Xenopus tropicalis: one gene and its partner. The protein of the gene in region 1 purifies or fractionates together with the protein of each later gene. This does not show direct contact. Links are inferred from orthologs where the notes say so. Each region holds a gene or a part of one and is shown in the gene's direction. Other genes may lie near its edges.

Evidence for each region.
Region 2: the proteins of vps4a (region 1) and zfyve19 purify together in Homo sapiens (affinity purification with mass spectrometry; 3 studies listed by BioGRID and IntAct, counting the BioPlex papers as one, with this or other methods). This does not show direct contact. The link is inferred for Xenopus tropicalis from reciprocal best matches to the Homo sapiens genes VPS4A and ZFYVE19.

What each region holds. Positions count from the first base shown.
Region 1 is NC_030680.2:61,135,066-61,138,894, reverse strand, and holds the end of vps4a (vacuolar protein sorting-associated protein 4A), read left to right. Parts: coding exon 1-137; intron 138-1,824; coding exon 1,825-1,906; intron 1,907-2,204; coding exon 2,205-2,424; intron 2,425-2,505; coding exon 2,506-2,646; intron 2,647-2,724; coding exon 2,725-2,826; 3' UTR 2,827-3,325; downstream 3,326-3,829. UniProt on the Homo sapiens protein: Involved in late steps of the endosomal multivesicular bodies (MVB) pathway. Recognizes membrane-associated ESCRT-III assemblies and catalyzes their disassembly, possibly in combination with membrane fission.
Region 2 is NC_030684.2:115,174,061-115,177,330, forward strand, and holds part of zfyve19 (abscission/NoCut checkpoint regulator), read left to right. Parts: intron 1-729; coding exon 730-849; intron 850-2,677; coding exon 2,678-2,832; intron 2,833-3,270. UniProt on the Homo sapiens protein: Key regulator of abscission step in cytokinesis: part of the cytokinesis checkpoint, a process required to delay abscission to prevent both premature resolution of intercellular chromosome bridges and accumulation of DNA damage.

The sequences.
Region 1 (3,829 bases):
TCTTTTTGAGTTAGCACGGCAACACAAACCATCCATCATCTTTATTGATGAAGTGGATTCTCTGTGTGGTTCTAGAAATGAGAATGAGAGTGAAGCTGCCCGTAGAATCAAGACAGAGTTCCTGGTGCAGATGCAGGGTAATACTAATGTTTGAACTGTACAAACCCCAACCTTAGTGGTGTTACTCTTTATCATTTGCTGCTTTAGGGTTGAAAGTTTAGGTGCTGTAGTACAGATTTGACTTTCTCGGTTTTTAGATTTCATCCATATGTTTTTTTGAAGTATATACATTTGAAGCTGATGAAGATAGCAGCAATACTGTTGCAGACTCCTCGTAGCACATCTTATTGCCTGCAATGTTCCCATAGCAGCATTACGTTCCTTACAGCATTCCCAAAGCTCTATTACAAAGCTTCCTTGTTCCCAAAATTGTAGCAAAACACAAAACTATTTATCTAAAGCCAATTATTTCTAAACTTAGGCAGTTTTCTTAAAATGTGTAGCAGGGTGTGATGGTTTTGATATCATCTAAAGGTTGCTTAGCAAGCATCATGTTAATGCTGAACATATACGTTTTGCCCATTTTTTTTTTTTTTTTTTTTTAAATTATGTGATAACTGTGGTTTTTTGTTAAGGTGGCTTTAGTTTCATTTTCAAATTGTGCCGTTTAGAGCAAGAAGTAAATAAGAGAATGGGCAAGATATATGTTCAGCAAAAGCCCTTAGTTATTGAACCAATCCTAAATCAGGGGGTGAAAAAGGTTTAAAACATGCCAATTTTAAAAAAGGGGAAATATATTAAAAAAAAAAGTACTCATAGGCTTCACTTCACTAGGGGGTCAATTAAGCCAAAGGGTGCCTTAAATTATCGCAGTACTAGTTTTGGCTGTATCTTCATTAATGGGTCCCTTAAAGGTGTTGTTAACCTTTAGTATTATGTAGAGTAATATTCTTAGACAGTGCAATTTCAATTGGTCTTCATTTTGAATTATTTGTAGTTTTGTTTAATTATTGCTGGTTTTGTTCAGCAGCTCTTTCGTTTGGAGTTTCAGCAGCTATATTTGGTTGCTAGGATCCAAATTACCTTAGCAACCAGGGTGTGGCTTATCTGAAAGATTGATAAATGAATAGGAATAGGACTTAAATAGAAAAATAAGTACTAAAAAGTAACAATAACAGTTAAACTGTAGTTTCACAAAGCAATAGTTTTTGGCTACTGGGATCAGTGACCTCCATTTGAAAGTCAGAAGAAGAAGCAGATAATTAAAAAAAACTATAACGAATAATAAAGATCAGTTGAAAAGTTGCTTAAAACATACTAAAACTTTTTGAAAATAATGGTGAACCACCCCCAGGTTTTTTCTTTGATCTTCATTCTCTTAAGATGGTGTTCTGTTCTGTGCAGTCTTATTTATATTTGGGTCAGCAGAACAGCTGAAGCTTCAGAGCAACTAACATCAGGTGGCCTGGAAGGAATATTAAGACAAAATTTAAAAATAGTTGGCTGTTCTAAACATTGGCATTTCACATTTATCACATCTGTTGCTGTGAATAGGGATGCTTTCCTTGAAATCCTGGCTTCTATTGCAGCAATTGACCTCTTTAACACCATGCTACAAAGTATAGTATCGTGTGAATTTATAAAGCTGTGCAGCAGAGTGCAAAATTCTGGTATAGTAAAAATAAAAAAGGATGTATAAATAGGGATTATTTATCTAACTACTTTTAGGGTTTTAGACAGCAAGTGCTAGGTTCTACAGTCTGTCAGGTATGCAGGTAATTCATCTATTGTCTGCCAGCTGCTGAGCACCACTTTGTTTTGCAGGTGTTGGTAACAACAATGATGGTATACTTGTTTTGGGAGCCACAAACATACCATGGGTACTAGATTCTGCCATTCGAAGAAGGTAAGGTAGTACTAAATATTTAAAGGAGAGGTATACACAAATGTTATGCAAAATATGCAAAGCATATTTAATAACTTCAAAATAATTAAACATGATTAATGTGGCATAGAATTATATTTGCTTTCATTACACAAAATGTTATATTTAACATAAATATGAGTATGTGTGGATAATAGTACAATGTTGATAATTCGTCAGTAACTTCTCTGTTTCTAATGATGAGAAACAGGCTCATTGTATAAAAAGCAATGCCTATTCTATATCACCATAAACTGAGTTGAATTCTGCTTGGGTTTAGGTTTGAGAAGAGAATATACATCCCTCTACCTGAAGAGGCAGCCCGTGCCCAAATGTTTCGGCTGCACTTGGGAAATACTCCACACAGTTTGGGCGAAGAGAATATACGTGAGCTTGCCAAGAAAACTGACGGTTACTCTGGTGCAGACATTAGTATCATTGTGCGTGATGCTCTTATGCAGCCCGTGCGCAAGGTGCAATCTGCCACACACTTCAAAAAAGTAAGTGAACGCAGAGAAATCCATTAGGGTATTTTTTTTCCCTAGGAAAAATAGTCATTCTACTTCTTTTGCTGTGTAAAGGTCCGTGGTCCCTCACGCACAAATCCAGGGATCATTGTTGATGATCTCTTAACACCTTGCTCTCCTGGAGACCCAGGGGCAGTAGAAATGACTTGGATGGAGGTGCCAAGTGATAAACTACAAGAGCCTGTTGTCTGTATGGTAAGTAATGACTGAACATTACTAAATTAATAAGCAATATTTCCCACCGTGAAATCTAATTCTTATCTTCTTGCACAGTCTGATATGCTAAGGTCTTTGGCTACTACTCGACCAACAGTAAATTCAGATGATCTTCTGAAAGTGAAGAAATTTACAGAAGACTTTGGCCAGGAGGGATGATGTGCAGTACAGTGTGAGGTGGCATGCCTTTTGGACACCTTATGCGCTTGCTTATCTCAAAGTGCCCCCACCAGTTACAACACAAGGATTTGCCGACTCTGGAGATGCCCACCTGTATATACAGGACTCCTAAATTTTCCCCCAGGGTCTTCAAAACCTGGGCACATCCATTTTACCTTCAATATGCTTCTGTTTCTGAAGTTTACATTTATTTGCCATCAGTCACCAGTCTTTTGTGACTCTTTTTTTTTTCTTTCCCTTTTCCCAACCCTAGACCATATGAAACAGAAGAGATCTGCCTGCCTGTTGAATGATACTGACTTTTATTCTAATTGATAATCTGACATTTTGCCACTCCTTATCCTGCAATCCCTTTGGGATTATACAGTGGAGGTGGTTTCCTACTGCCCTTCTGCATCTATCCCTGCCAGTTTCTGCTTTTTTGCATTACTGGGTATATATGTTGAGCTGTGTAAATATATTCTTTCTGAGTGGATAATCTGTCTGGTGCTCATTTGTAAATAGGGTGTATACATGGAACAGATGTCATTGACCCATTTTAAATAAGCATTTTTGTCCTGTCCTCATGCAGGACACACTGCAGCACTATGTATGATGGGTGGCAAGGGTAATGTGATGGGTACTTTCAACTCTATTATTTTATCTTTGTTATTTATTGTCCTTTCTCTGCTGTGGTGATGCTAAACTAGCAATACAGACCAGCTGCACTGACTAATAAAAATACTTTCAGTTGCTCACATCGTGCACATTTAGCTTACACTCCCAAATTAGAAACAGGTCCTAATTATAAATAGCATTTTGTCTTCCATGTAATTCTACTTACATAGAAGGTAAGGTGTAGGAATATTGGTTATGCAACGTCTTATTCTGTTTATTACCTATTTGCTTTTTTTTTTTTTTAAGTTAAACCAACTAGAATGTACAAAGTGCCAAAATATTCTCTATAATAGTGTACAGTAAATTGGAGAGGACAAATACCCAA
Region 2 (3,270 bases), on another chromosome or scaffold:
CATAGGAAAACATGTTTTTTTTCCAAAAAAATTTTTCCATTTAATTTTGAAATTTCACATGGGGCTAGCCATATTCATTTTCCAGGGTGCCACAAACATGTGACCTGTGCTCTGATAAACTTCAGTCACACTTTACTGCTGAGAACAATTGGAAGGGAGCAAGATAGCAGCTCCCAGTAGGTATCAGAATAGCACTCAATAGTAAGAAATCCAAGTCCAGCTTGGGACTCCTCCAGTTACATGGGAGTAGGAGAAACAATAGGTTACCTGAAAGCAGTTCTAATGTGTAGCGCTGGCTCCTTCTGAAAGCTCAGACTCAGGCACAATGCACTGAGATGGCGCCTACACACCAATATTACAGCTAAAAAATACATTTGCTGTTACAAGAATAAAATGTTAAATGGTAGAGTGAATTATTTGCTATGTAAACGGTGTAATTTAGAAATAAAAAGTATACTATAAAATTCATGACAGAATCCCATTAATGTAAACCTGTAAATAACAATTTGCCCTTGCAGAGAGACCGCTAAACAAGAAAGATCAGGGAATATTTCACTTGACATTTTTATTGGGCTAGAATCTTGACTGAACTGATTTTCTTTCTGACTGCATTGCTGCACAGTTCTGAACAGAAGGAATTTGGGTGTAACGTGGGGGCAGCCCCTATTAATAATTGTTCGTGTATATACAAACACAAGCAGACTGCTGTTTTTCTGATCTCTGTTGCAGCTCTCAGAGGAAGTTGTTCTAGATGAAGCCAGCGGCTTTAACATCCCCCCTGATCAAAACAGACCAGAAGCCAGCAGCTTAAACATGCCAGTGGGTAATAAACTTCATCTACAAGGAAAGGTATGTGATCAGTAGATATTGACCTAGTGTAAGTGGCATCTGCCATCTCCTTTACCTCTCTCTGTCAGGGTCCCACAAGGCTCTGTTCTAGACCCCTTGTTATTTCCTCTCTATACTTCTTTCCTTGGCAAATGAATAGATTCATATAGTTTCCAGAGCCACCACTATGCTACTCATATCTCTCATATACACTCATATCTCTCCTCTCCTGATCTTAAACCAGAGCTCTTAACTCTGGTCTCTTTCTGCCTGTCTGCTATCTCTACTTGGATTCCCCAAGGCTACCTTAAATTAAACATATCTAAGACAGAAATGGTTATCTTTCCCCAACCCAACACCCATAACATCCCACAAGTGGTTAATAACCCCATTATCCAGTCCATAATGAATACTTCTGCCAGGCTCATACACCTCAGCCAACTCTCCTCCTCTGCCAATCCCTGCACTGGCTTCCGCTGCCATTTAGAACAGTGCTGTCCAACTGGCGGCCCGCGGGCCCCCCACCTGTCTGGCTGCTTTGATGGCTTACTCTTGTGTAAGCTTTAAATGGTATCAGTACTGTGATTAACTGCCCCCCTGCATGGTTATCACCTCAGATTCAGGCTGCAATCAGGCTGTATTGTTTAAATATGTAATTCCCTGTGTTGTTCACACCTTTTAATCTCTGCATTGTTCCCCCCTGCAGTGTTCACACCTCAGGCTCAGGCTGTAATCACCCATATTGTTCCCCTGTTCACACCTCAGGAGCAGTAGAAACCCACAAATACACCCTGCACACTACAAAAAGGACATATACTGAGGTGGTACTGCAATTAAAAAGTTTTTAATATATAGTTATTGTGCAGACTGTAGGAGCAGTGCCAGCATTGTGCCATACACACAGGCATCATAGGGCAAGCAGAGTATTGCACACACAGACAGGGTAGGGAAGGCAGAGTATGGCACACACAGGCAGAGTATGGCACACACAGGCCAAGTATGGCACAAACCAGCCAAGAATGGCAAACACAGTGAAAGTATGGCACACACAGGCAGGGTAGGGAAGGCAGAGTATGGCACGCAGGCAGGGTAGGGAAGGCAGAGTATGGCACACACAGGCAGGGTAGGGAAGGCAGAGTATGGCACACACAGGCAGGGTAGGGAAGGCAGAGTATGGCACACACAGGCAGGGTAGGGAAGGCAGAGTATGGCACACACAGGCAGGGTAGGGAAGGCAGAGTATGGCATACACAGGCAGGGTAGGGAAGGCAGAGTATGGCACACACAGGCAGGGTAGGGAAGGCAGAGTATGGCATACACAGGCAGGGTAGGGAAGGCAGAGTATGGCACACACAGGCAGGGTAGGGAAGGCAGAGTATGGCACACACAGGCAGGGTAGGGCAGGCAGAGTATGGCAGGTTTTTGCTGTACTACAACCATTAATATGGGTATGGCCATGTGATAACATGGGTGTGGTTTCAAGTAGGTGCGGTTTCAAAAAGGGGAGTGGTCAAAACTGGCTTCCATTATCGGCCCTCCACCACGTAGGTCGGAAAAATTCCGGCCCTCGTTACAACAGAAGTTGGACAGCACTGATTTAGAATATCAAATGAACGATCCTCACATTCAGAGCAGTTTGTGTCTCACTATACATCTCTGAACTCTGATCCCCAGATACTCACCGATACTCGCTATGCACCTCTAATAACCTGCTCCTTAGTTCCTCTCTCATTCTACACATATAGCTAAACTAGCAGCTCCCACCATCCTCAGCTTCCAAAGTTCAGCAGTGAAACTGTATAGTTAAATCTAAAAGCTGGTGCCAAGTGTTTCATTTGCCCTTTTCAAGGTCACCACAAAAAGCCAACCTCCAGCTGCAAGAACAACTCCCAGAGAGGCTGACAGTGATGAAGAGGAGCTGCCATGGTGTTGCATTTGTAATGAGGATGCTATTTTGAGGTGTCATGACTGTGATGATGATCTGTACTGCAAGAGATGCTTTAGGTAAGCCTGTTATCCTGATTCATCATGGTATGGTATACTTTCATGCTGTAGTTTTGATTTCCCGTTTATATGTAGCAAAAGGAAATATTTTTAAGTAATATTTTATGTAATTATGGTCATTTTGCTTTGTTGTGTCCTAGCTTCTGTGACGTTGGAGCCCAGCTTGCCACTTGCCACCAGACTTGCATAAACCATTCTTGTTCTTTTCTGGTTGCAGTTTTCCTTCTCATTTCTAGTCCTTCAGAAGTATCATTATTCCTTCATAAGATGCCAATAGGAGGCGTGGGCTAATCATGGGACAGACATCCCATAACTGGGGTCTGTGACCAGCTTAACATGACCAATAGTGAGATTAGTGACAAATAACTGTATCAGGAGTGTCAGCCTAGTTTGTTTACATGCTTTGATTGGAGATACCGTAAAAATAAAATGGTGCTA